Linked DNA regions of Caenorhabditis elegans. The main gene of each other region encodes a partner of the protein of the gene in region 2 in a complex. Each region holds a gene or a part of one and is shown on either strand. Other genes may lie near its edges. A codon is read from its position in the direction of its gene.

Region 1 (8,042 bases), on a different chromosome or scaffold from region 2:
GTTTAATTAGAAAATGTATTGCTGATTTCCTACCTATCAGGAATCAAACGCCCTTTCTCGTCATCAGTTGTCTCATCATTTGACATAACCTCATTCATAATTGGAGACATCATTGCAGAGGTGTAGCTGAAATCATGGTAAATTGATAAAGTTTCAATATAGTTTTTCATTTCTACCTGCTGTGAGGATTCAGATTTGCCCATAGTGGTTCATGAAGTGCAGGATCGCCAAGTGAATCGTCTGTTGATGGAGGACGAGTTGGATCTTGGGAAGAGTTTTCTACCGTAGCAACTCTGAAAATATTTATAATGATTATCTTAAGCTACCAAAGTATTTTTGCCGGTCAAAAACCTAATATCGAATCTGAAAGGTCTTTTTTCACAAAACGTGATGTATTTTCCTGTTTCGTGTCTCTGATCACGTACTGCCAACCATTTGAAATAAAAATACGATCAGTAAAAAAATCCAGAACAAAACAATGAACGAACAAAGTGAAGCTCGTAGTGATAATACTGTAGCTCAGAAAGTGATATAATATTTTTTAAATGCTAATTTCAGGCACTGAATGAGAAATGTATATTTGAAAATATCAAGTCGTGAAAACAGGTTTCCAAAAGTTATTGTTATTCCTTACCCATATCGAATATTGTGTGTTGTACTAATTGGCTGCAGAAGCCTCCTTGCAGCTTGTTTCTCAATTGAAGATGATGGCTGATGCGAGCTACTTGATGAACTAGCAGAGCTCCTAAAATGTATAACATAGGTGATAAGAGCAGTTATAAAACCAATAACAAACTTTTTCTCAATTCGCAAAGGTGTGATGTAAGTGTGAAGTGGATTTTCTGTGATCTCACTGCAAATTAAAAGTGCTCGTTTCGAAAACTTCTCACAATATTCAAACCAAACGTCTTCCTTCAATCAAACTTACATTCTCATTTCAGAATTGGACGGTGCAGTAGTAGTAGATTTTGATGAAGACGCTGATGCGGATTGTGAGTTTTGATCGAATGATTGGATAGCTGTACGGTAGGACATGTCACGATTACTGAAAAATAATTATTTTGTAAATAGTGATTGCTGTGATAATTGATGCTTGCCTTGTTCTTCTACTTTGTGAGCTTCGTTTACTTGGATTTTCTGATCGTTCTCTAGATGCTGGACGAGAACCGTCGGGTGGCAGAAGATATCTGCTTTCGGAGTTTCTGAAAATATTAACTTTTAGAGGAACTACGTGACACTTAAATCCGAGTACAAATTTTTTCTAAGAAAACTACTTTTAAAAAAATGGCCCGGAAAAAAAGCAAATATGAATAAAAAAAACTACCTCTTTTCGCTATCCTCATCATCTGAATCTGTTTCGGAACCAGTTGATAATTCTCGAAGCCTTCCACCACCTTCTTCCATTTCAATATCATCATGTCGCCCATATTTATTTGGATCAGCCCAGCCAATGCATACTAAAAACCTCTGACGAAGAGATAACTTTGGCGGAAGCGACGATGTTGTTGATTCACTATCAGAAGATTGTTCTTCACCGGTGCTGTGATCAACTTCTGATACTGATCCTAATGAAGGTACAAATTGGCGACCTGATACACTTTTAGCAGTTGATCTATTGTGCTGGGAATCATCATCAGAAGAAACTCCTTTTGTTGGTGGGGGTAGTAATTGTTTTGGTTTTTGTTTTCCAAATGTGTTGTCTTTGCTCTTTTTCTTCTTTCCCCCGGCAAGCTCAAAGATTTTTTTCTTCTCTTCTGTCCGTTCCTGGAAATGTTCAGTGTGATGTTTCATTGCATTACATTTGACAGTCAAATTTCGAATAGGACTAAATTTTGATAAAACAATTTTAAAAATCATACCACCATAAGTTGAAATGACAGGTCTTGATTAGCTTGTGATAATCCGGTAACCATTGCAATGAGGAAATATATAACCAGTCTGGAATTTTTAGCTACTTAAAAATTTACAAATGTTTTAAAACTTACGACAACAGTACTAAAACTGGAATAATGATTCCTGGAGACAAACTGTACTTGATACCATTAACAAGGGTTTTGTCTAAGTTTTCATGAAGAACATCAGTAATGACACTGTAGAAGAATGATTGATTTCTGAAATTCGTATATGTGATTGGGAACCTTCAAAAATATACGCTAAGCCCAATTTTCTTTATATTAAGGATGTACTTTAAAATACAGATGTAAAAATATTGAATTTTTATTAAACTTATTTGAAGTTTTAATTTATCAAACTCTTACCCAAATGGACCACAACTTTTACTCGGAGTTTTTGAAGCTATAACAAATCCGACTGGAAGTGTACAGAGGAATAGGAACAGTATTAGTAGTGCAAAGAAAAAGTTGGACGAACGACTGGCACGAAAGATTTGACTGGCCGGAACATTGCACGTCATTGCAGCCCATCCTCGAATGTACATCAAGATAATCAATTTTATGTTATTCAGCATTGGGAGAAGTGGAACAAAGAAGAGCCCGAGCCATATCATTCCTTAAAAACGCAACAGCATATTTGCAGACAATGTTTGATCTGTCCTACCTTGATTATTTACCAAGTGAAGCACATTTTCAGCAACTTTGAATTCTCCGTACTCAGGCTGAAATTTTAAATGTATAAAATGTTGAATAAAAGTATGTGAGCAGTGGTTAAAGATGGTGTAGTCGAATTATTTTTATTGCTTTATTAGAATCAAAATTGTCTAATAACACCCTATTTCATAATGAAACTTATTGAAAAATTCTCAAAAAAGTTATGACGGCCTAAGAAATGATAAGTTAAAATAAAATTATTTAAAATTTGAAATTTTACCTATTTGCCAATGTCACAGCAATTTTCAATGTGCAAAGAGAATAAAATCCATATTTTAAGTTATTTATCGCCCAAAAGTCCTTAACACTTCAGAAACACCAAACTTGGTATGGTCTTGAGCCCCTTTAAACACAGCAAATCAATACAGACTAAATTAATTTAAAAACTCACAAATGTTCTCTCCAAATCCCATGGCCAATATAAATTCAAATATCGACATGCCAAACCACGAAGAAAATCAATCAGAAAAATTGAAGCGACTGTCATGTACAAGTCCATTGTCACAAGTTTTGTTATTTCTTGGCCAATGATTGTTTCCCAACAAAGACCTCCTTGAGACATACGGAGTGATGCACGTGTTGTGGCTCTGTAAAAGTTATGCCTACAATTAGAAAACAAATAATTATATTACCCCGTTGGGCTTGCTGCATTCACAGTTGTCTCATTCCAGTCTGAGTTTGGTCCAAACATGTGCGTTTCTACAACTGGAGAAGAGAAAACTGTATCGTCCTTAGTGACTGATGCTTTCGGGTTATACACTCCAAATGGTCCAAAGTCGGGAAGCACAGTTGTCCACGAACTGGTTGCAGGGATGGGAGTTGTTGTAACTGGGGCGTAGGAGTAGTATGTATGGGGATTGTTGTCTACCGGATATCGAGGCAACACTGTCTCACGTATTGTTCTGGAATAAATTATATCAGTGACTTTTGTAGGTATGCAGCGTCGGTTTCCTGTTTTTTTATTTAAAAAAAAAGAATAGTCAAACCATTCTTATCATACTACAATAAATTATTTGAAACCGTTTAATTAAAAGCGTAACCTCACGAACCTTCCTATTGCATCTCCTGGATGGCCAAGTGCAGAAATTGGATTATCAGAGGCATTTTTCTCTTTCTGCAAATGCTCCAATTGCAACATCAATGAATAAATCAGAGTGTAGTAATTCAGAATGTATAGAACAAGCACTCTGAAAAAATTCCTCTACTCAAATTCCATAAGCTCAAATTTTTTTGAAACATACCTTCCAAGTTGGAACCTCAATGCATTTCTCGGGTGTAGCTTTTCAATTTTACCCAGCAGATCAAAAATATTCGGGAAAACTAATGTAATGAGAGAAATGGTTATAGCAGTGGCATTCTGAATAAGTTAATAGTGTTATTGAGCATCTAAGAACTACTAACCTGCGCAAAAAAGTGTTCTCCTTTCAAAGTTCCGCATTGCATAATGGCCCATATTGAGAACACATACATTGCGCAAATGAAAAGATTTGTAAGAACACGTGCTACAAACCGAATCCAGGGATGTTTGTCACTTGGCTTTTGTTTATCATCGTTTATTGCTTCACGAAATTTTATAACGTTTGCCATATAGACATTTCCAGCAGTTTCAGGATTACCTAAATTTTCAGAATATAAAATTAATCTCGAAAAAACTGAACGCTCACCTATAGTATAATCCCAGCCTGTGAAAGCTTTCCAATTGAATAAATACTGTTGCGTTTTTCCTGATGATAAGGTCCCACGACGATTGTTAGCCGCCATTCTTTAATTAGGACGAGTTTGTTTTTTTTTCTGTTCTATCTGATTTTCTTTTTTTTTTCAAACTCACTTCCTCAAGATGATGAAAAGTGAAAATCCTAGAATAAAAATGTTGCAGAAAAAATAAGCCACTGGAACACGATATTTGATTGTTTCTCCGAAAAACGTTTCTTTCGAGTAAAAACCGTAAAATAATAAAGAGTATTGAAAGTAGCCCTGAAAAAAAAACCATTGAACATTGGTTTTATCTGTTATCATTACAACTCACCCCAAAGTCCCAGACTGTGGATAGCTCGTCGGCACGAGCACGAACAGCTGGTGGCATTACTTTGATGGCCTTTGTCTTATTGTATCTGTCATCACCGAATTGAGTTCGAGAGTCGGCGAGCCACTGAAAATTATAATCTGAGGTGTAAAACCAAGACATATCATCATTAAAAAATCTCGTGCACGTCAGAATGTTCTATTTTGGCTTGATCATCAAAAACTGCTGGAATTTAGACGCTTCTAGACGCGAATTCCTTTACTGATTTAGCATGATTAAAAGCGTGCTGACGTCAAATTTTTCCGGGCGAACAATTCCCGCATTTATTGTACATCAAACTTTTCTTTAGTTCAAAATTGGAGGCCCTATTTTTGAAGCGTTGAAGTTTTTATAAGCTTGTAGAAGCTCACCTCAGGTATAACTACGAACATACACATAATAAATGTGATTGTGATGTTAACTCCGAGAACCCATCGATGAAATGTAAAATATGACGACACAACTGATCCAAAGTGGCTTTCAATTTTTCGAATCTTTGCTTCCCAGGGTATCAAATAAATTTTGAGATTATCCAACCATCGACTGGCTTGTGTCAATCTTCGACCAGCCTCTGCTTTGTATAATCTTGCTTTCGAGACTTTTGCTTCTTGCTGTTGTAGATGTTTTTGTGCTACTCTGAAATTTCCGATTTTGACGTTTCGCTCAAATGTTCATAGCGGTCTTACTTCAACGTCCGCCGTTTTCTTTTCATATACCACGGCTGGCCACGTAATTTTTGTATAATTTCTTTCTTTTGTTGAATTTTCTTGAGTATCCTATCTTTCGAAGCTTCTTTGTCGTCTTCTTCGTCGAATTCGTCATCGTCACTGTAATGTGAAAATTGAACAAAATGCTGGAAAGTGAATAAATTTTTTGGAAAACTCACTCGTCAAAATTGGGATTTCCTAATCGTGTATGTGGTCGAACAAGAACACTGGAGGAACGGCGAAAAAGAGAAAGCAGATCAGCCTGAAAATCAAATTAATTTAAATATATGAAACAAGTGTTAGCTGTTATAATCTGGACTTGGAAACATTTTTACTCTTTCACAACTTCAGAGCAATACTATATAATTTTTGAATTGATAGTTTTTATACACCTTGATTGTTTCTGTGAATTTCAAGAGCATACGTTTTTGTCTTAACAAATGAAAACTAAACGTTTATTTCACTTCTAGTTTTTACGAAATTGTAATTCATTTTTTAAATAATTTTTATTTATAAAATACTGCATAATTGTCAAGAATTTACAAAGCGAGTTTGAAAACGTACAATAACTGACGATCTTCTACTCATTCGACTATCAATTTCCTCTTCAGAAACATCCGCTAGAGACTTAACGGACTGTCCTGTTTCCCCACCATCATCAGTGTCATGTCGAACCAGAGGCTGATGAGCGCCTGATTTCGGCATCGTGCTTTAGATGACTGCACGCCGGCGTCCACTGCTCGATGCGTCCAGTTGACAGCTTCTTAGATGATCAATAATATTATTTATTTTTAGCACTAAATCTCTCATAGAAAGACAACGGGAAGATTGCGGATCGGAAGTGGTTTGTGAGTAATGGCGATTGCGATATGATTAGAAAAAAGCAAACGTTTAAGAGAGAACACGGAGACAATTGACGGAGTGAAGTCATTTTTTGCGCGTCTGAGAAACTTAACAAGATGGAAAAGAGCGGTTATCTGATGGTGGTGGATGACGCGGGCCATGTGTCTGGTGTGAGCCACATTATGTAAAAATTGTGATATGAAACAAGTGATAGTGAGCGCGGCCAGCGGGAGGTGCTCGAAATGCAACAAGCGATGTAATGAATGAAATTTTTGCGGGTTGGAGACCGAAAAGAAGCACACAGAAGAGTAGTCTGTGACAGAAGACACGCAAGAAACACAGAGCAAAGACACATTTTTTGCCTTTGACTCGTCGTCGGCCAAGGAGAAAAAAGACGACGGGTCTGGGAAGGATATTGATAACAATTGATGAGAAAAGAGCAAATTGGAGATGAGTTTGCAACCACCTCACGTTTGATTTTGATGTCGATGGCAAATAACACAAGCCACCGTCTGTCTCAATCTCTTGTTGATGCGGTTTCTTTTTCGAGGCCAATCTACAGAGCAAAACATACTCATCAGATTGCCGATCTAATTCGCGAGTAAGAAGTTCGCAATTGAGCACGTCTGAATTGAAAAAAAAAAACGAACATCGCTAGGAAAACATTTGCGGAGGAAATGAGCAGTGGAAAGGAGGAGAGGGGTCGTAAACTTAAGAGGGGATGTAAAATTTGAGTATCAGTGTCATAAAGATCTTCGTTGTTCCATTTAGTTTTTAATGTTTTCTTTTTTAACAATTAGTTCGAATCCTAAGTGAATTTTTGAGTTAAAACAGAGATTTTAAATGTCGAGAAATGAAGACGTAAAAAGTGAAGAGGTTTGAATTTAAAAAAAACGGTTTACACCATATTTTCATGTTTTTCATAATTTTACAAGTATAAAAGTATTTTCTAAATTTCCTGACTTAATTAGTACACACATAATGAATTATATAGTACTTAAAAAGGAGAATTTGTTGAATATTTCTTAATATCAAGTGTCAACATGGCAAGGTGTCTTAATATGGTATTTGACAATTCCACTATTTTATTTTTTTACATCTTAATTTCCCTCAATGTTGTTTGTTTTTGGAAACAATTATTTAATACACATAGAAGGACCCGTAAAAATTGTAACAATTTGTATCTGTTTTAAAGATGAAACAGAGAATAAATACTTAAACTTCTAACTGTTGCAGCAACAACATATGTTTTTTTAATCTAACTAAAAACAATATACAAAATATGTTTTAAAATATAAAAAACTCCTTCATGTTTCAAATTTTTGGGATAAGAATAATAGAAACATTTCTTGAGGGACATGGTGTGAAATGCGATCTCTCGAACTTTTTGGACTTTCAAAGAGAAAATAAGAACAACATATCTCTCAAGTGTCGGAAAGGTCAGGTGCAATTCGATAGAGGTGAAATTAGAGAAAATCATACAATCTAAAAATTACGCAAAAAAGTAGTAGTCCGGTCGGATGTGACAATCAAACAAAAATGTGGTGTTCTTCTTTATCTTCAGGCTCAACTCTTCTTGTCAACCTTCGTTTTCTCCTCTCAAAGCAATATCTCCCCCCACCGAACCAACGCTAGTTACATCCTCTTCCCCGACAAATGCTTCTTCTCATTCTGCCGGTGGACGGACACCATTGTCGAGAGATAAGCAGGAGATATAGAGTCTCTGCTCTTGATCAAACTTGTTATAGCAATCCGTACGTTCAATCCTCGTTTCAGAATGCTACTCGTGTTTTTCTTTTAAGCTTGTCATACTGAGCGCATGTC
Region 2 (3,956 bases):
GCTCATAAAAATTGAAAATTTCCAAAATTACAGTTGTCGAATAGAGAAAAATCGGCCAAAAATTATTATCGATTTTTGAAATTTTGAAATTCCCTTGCCGGTTGACGAAAAATCGTTAACATATTCAAAACTTCGTTTTTTTTAGCAATTATATTTAATCAGCAGATGAATGTTTTTCAAAAATGTAGCCTCTAACAGTTTAATTTTAATTTAAAAAAATCACATTTTCTGACTTTTTTTTTGAGTCGCGAAATTTATTGCTTCTTTTTTTTTCAATTTTTGCCATAATTTTTAGTTTTAAAATTTCGATTTTTTGCCGCAAAAAAAAAACCACCAATATATACTAACTTAATCTTCCCGTGAAATTTTTTCCGTGTCAAATATCCTATTAAATATGGCTCCAACTTGTGAGCCAATTCGATTCGTCGTCTCTGCGTCTCCTCCTCTTCACGCTCTCTCGCATTCTTTTGAAGAGTTCGTAGAATATTATCCATTATTGATTGATTATCTTCGTAATTTCATACTAAAAAAACCCGCATCTAACCACGTTGCAAAATTGTCTATCGAGTATTAGAAAATCGGAAAATTTTACCGAAGTAATAATAATAAAAAATACGGCAAAAAAGCAAATGTTTTCATATTAAAAATTCAATTTATTTACAAAAAGATCCAAAAAAAAGGTTTAAATCATCAATTTCATCAATTTAAACTTGAGATTGAATACGTGAGCCAGTATGACGTGAGCTGCTTGTGCTCGGAGCACCTCCACCACCTCCAGAAGGCATTGAGTTCATCACGATTGCCTGAGCACGTTCGTCGTCTGGAAAAAAACATGATTTTTGGCGAAAAATTGAGAAAATTCAAAAAATTTCACCCCAAAAATTTGAGTTCCCGCCGGGAGACACCACGGAATGATCAATTTCGTAGAACCAAATCTACGGGAATACGAGCGGGATATAATAAAATTTAGTCTTTGGATTATTTGAGATTTTTCACCAAAATTTCACCAAAAATTTCATATTACCGCCGGTTGACACCACGGTTCAAAGGGAAATCTTATTCCGCAGATCCGAATTCACGGGAAAGTGGGCGGAGCGTTATACTCAGAATTTGAGAGGAAAATTTTTAGAAATTTGCAGTTTCTACTGAAAATTGCTTGAAAAATCGATAATTTCACTGAAAAATTTGAATTCCCGCCTGGAGACACCACGGTTCGGGGGGAAGTGTTATTCCGCAGAACCGAAATCGCGGAAACTAAAAACTCCTCCTTCTTTCACAGAGTTGGAATCTGCAGAACATTAATTTCCACCGGATTTGTAGTGACTGGGGCGGCGGCGGGAATTCGAATTTTCAGTGACAACCTCGCTTTTAAGCTCAAAAAAAACTCACTGTGAGCATTGGCTTCTGCCGAATTTTTGGTGCTTTTTCTCAATTTTCGTTTCGCAGCAATCAGATCGATTTGTCGTTTTGTACGTGGAATTCGGATTCTCATGAAGCAGCACACGATGACAACTGGAAAATGGAAAAAAATTGGGGTTTTTGGGTCTACGGAACTGTGGGTTTCCTCGGATGTTGTGGTGACTGGGGAGAGAAATTCCACGTTTCTGTGTCTACGGAAGAGGATTTTCCTTAACTGAGTCACTGCAACTTCAGGGAATGGTCAATTCCTTGGAACCGAAAACTCGAAGTTTCAACGGGAGTCACCAGGATGTCTCTCGGTGGAATCCTACTCCCGTAGAAGTGAAAACTTGAAGTTTTTGAAGTCACCATGGAAACCCAACTCCCGTAGAACTAGAAACTTCAAGTTTTGGAGTCACCACGCACACCCTACTCCCGTGGAACTCGAAACATGACTCAAAACTCACTCATAATGAGCAAAACTCCTCCAACAAGTGCAATGAGCATCCATAATCGTAAGCCGGGAGCCACAAATTGATCAAGTGCCGATAAATGATTGATTTCTTCATTTCCAGACGGCATTACCTAGTTTTTCGTCTTCACCGAAAAATGAAGAAAATGTGAGAAAAGAATCTGAAGAATCGGAAGTCGCCACGGAAATTGAAGTGAAAATTGTGAATTGAGGCGGAGCAGGTTTTACGACTTTTTTAAGACTTGGAAATTTGCCGGAAATTGGAAAGGATTTTTTAAGTGAAAAATATTAAAAATTTAGGGGAATTTTTAATTCAAAACTGTTTTTTAAAAATGTAATTTCTTGATTTTTTCAATTTTTTTTTGAATTTTTACCCTAAAAATTTTTTTTGGATTTTCAAGCAAAAACTTTTTGGATTTTCAAGCAATTTTAGGAAATAATGATTTAATCTTCTCAATTTTTCAGCAAAAAAACTCTAAAAATGATTAGAAATCCACTAGTCTACACATTTTTGCTTCACCATTTTTCAATATTTTTTATCGATAAATTTTTTCAAAATTTTCGAAAAAATTGTTTTTTTTTTCAGAAAAATCGAAATTTTTCCAACAAAATAAAAACCAAATTTCAAACGTTTTCGAATTTCTCTGAAAATTTTTTTTTTTCAATTTCTTCAGTAAATTCCAAATGAAAAAACGTCCTATTTTCACTTTTTTTCGCTTTTTTTTAAAAAAAATTCGCAATTTTTCAACAAAAAAAAATTGAATTTTTAAATTTTTTCGAATTTCTCTGAAAAATTGTTTTTTTTTCAATTTATTTCAGTAAATTCCAAATAAAAAAGAAACTTTTTTGTTTTTTTTCCGAAAACAATACACAATTTTTCATTTAAATTCGAAAAGTTTGATTTTTATTTTGCAAAATCCAATCCACTAATATTCAAATTTTTCAGTTTAAAAAAATTTGAAAAAACTTTTTTTTTAATCTAAAAAATCCACAATTTTTCAATTTTTTCCAAAATTTCAAAAACTTAAATTTATTCATTTTAAAGTATGAAACAGGAACAAACACGAGAAAATATATAAATTTTGTGTTAAAAGTTCGAGATTTCCCATAGGGAACAAGAAGAAGAGAGGGAAGAGAAGGGAGCAGAGCGGTGGTGGTGGGATATAATGGGACGAAGAACTGCCGGGGAGAAGAAGCCTGGAGCTTCTGCTGTGGACACCAATACAACTGAGACATTCTCTGCTTCTCTGATATCTCTCCATCTCTCACTCACTGCTCGACTTTGGGAGAAGCAGGAGAGGTACACACCGGAAATGAGAGAGAGACAAAGAGCCCGCAGCTCCTGTTGCTCCATTTTATTTAAATTAAAGGTGGAGTTAGGGATGGACGGCAATTCGGCAAATTACCGATTTGCCGGAAATTTTCAATTCTGGCAAATTGCCGGTTTACCGGAAAATTTAATTTTCGGAAAATTGCCGATTTGCCGGAAATTTTTCAATTCTTGCAAATTGCCGATTTGGCGGAAATTTGAATTATCGGCAAATTGCAATTTGCCGGAAACTTTCAATTCCGGCAATTCGTCGGTTTGCCGGAAACTTTAAATTCTGACAAGTTACCAATTTGCCGGAAATTTTCAATTCTGACAAATTGCCGATTTGTCGGAAATTTTAATTTTCGGAAAATTGCCGGTTTGCTAACTTGCAGGAAATTTTCAATTTCGGCAAGTTGCCGTTTGCCGAACATCAATTTGCCGGAATTTTTAGAGGGATTGTTATAAGACGGAAACACTTAAAACTGTGCTTTTTTTCCAAAAAAAAATGTGCAAAACACAATTTGCCGAAAATTTCCGGCAAATTCGGCAAATTGCCGGTTTGCCGGAATCTTTCAATTCCGGCAATTTGCCGATTTTAATGCGTTTTTTAAATTATTAGTTAGTTTTCTGTTTACTATAATTTTGGAAAAAACATCCAATTCTAAATAATTTCTTTTTCGAAAATGCGAATTTTCAGTTAAAAAATCTAGAAAAAATCCAGAAAAAATCCTAGCGAAACAGCTATTCTCCCCACAAAAATCCAAAAAAAATATC

What was found.
Region 1: the proteins of tmie-1 (region 2) and tmc-2 are in contact, whole or in part, in a cryo-EM structure (PDB 8TKP), measured with the Caenorhabditis elegans proteins. Residues at the interface, in NP_001379030.1 of Caenorhabditis elegans: Arg23 (codon at 1,914), Trp25 (codon at 1,908), Met26 (codon at 1,905), Cys43 (codon at 1,501), Ile48 (codon at 1,486), Arg49 (codon at 1,483), Ile50 (codon at 1,480), Pro51 (codon at 1,477), Arg52 (codon at 1,474), Thr53 (codon at 1,471), Lys54 (codon at 1,468), Ile57 (codon at 1,459), Ala61 (codon at 1,447); in NP_001335510.1 of Caenorhabditis elegans: His176 (codon at 5,144), Ala239 (codon at 4,671), Asp242 (codon at 4,662), Glu243 (codon at 4,659), Leu244 (codon at 4,656), Val247 (codon at 4,647), Glu336 (codon at 4,214), Phe623 (codon at 3,063), Gly626 (codon at 3,054), Leu627 (codon at 3,051), Arg630 (codon at 3,042), Glu641 (codon at 3,009), Arg642 (codon at 3,006), Tyr647 (codon at 2,608), Trp693 (codon at 2,422), Ala695 (codon at 2,416), Met696 (codon at 2,413), Thr697 (codon at 2,410), Cys698 (codon at 2,407), Asn699 (codon at 2,404), Val700 (codon at 2,401), Pro701 (codon at 2,398).

What each region holds. Positions count from the first base shown.
Region 1 is NC_003284.9:9,301,820-9,309,861, reverse strand, and holds the start of tmc-2 (Transmembrane channel-like protein 2), read right to left. Parts: upstream 6,139-8,042; 5' UTR 6,081-6,138; coding exon 5,940-6,080; intron 5,638-5,939; coding exon 5,555-5,637; intron 5,496-5,554; coding exon 5,355-5,495; intron 5,305-5,354; coding exon 5,040-5,304; intron 4,756-5,039; coding exon 4,633-4,755; intron 4,581-4,632; coding exon 4,435-4,580; intron 4,369-4,434; coding exon 4,271-4,368; intron 4,223-4,270; coding exon 4,008-4,222; intron 3,964-4,007; coding exon 3,848-3,963; intron 3,794-3,847; coding exon 3,656-3,793; intron 3,509-3,655; coding exon 3,239-3,508; intron 3,194-3,238; coding exon 2,998-3,193; intron 2,615-2,997; coding exon 2,557-2,614; intron 2,509-2,556; coding exon 2,259-2,508; intron 2,112-2,258; coding exon 1,986-2,111; intron 1,939-1,985; coding exon 1,860-1,938; intron 1,765-1,859; coding exon 1,325-1,764; intron 1,203-1,324; coding exon 1,098-1,202; intron 1,046-1,097; coding exon 929-1,045; intron 854-928; and 8 more. UniProt on the Caenorhabditis elegans protein: Probable ion channel.
Region 2 is NC_003281.10:10,854,851-10,858,806, reverse strand, and holds tmie-1 (Transmembrane inner ear), read right to left. Parts: upstream 2,032-3,956; 5' UTR 1,981-2,031; coding exon 1,866-1,980; intron 1,513-1,865; coding exon 1,390-1,512; intron 821-1,389; coding exon 705-820; 3' UTR 621-704; downstream 1-620. Other genes in the region: oxi-1 (Ubiquitin-protein ligase E3B), read right to left, coding at 349-494.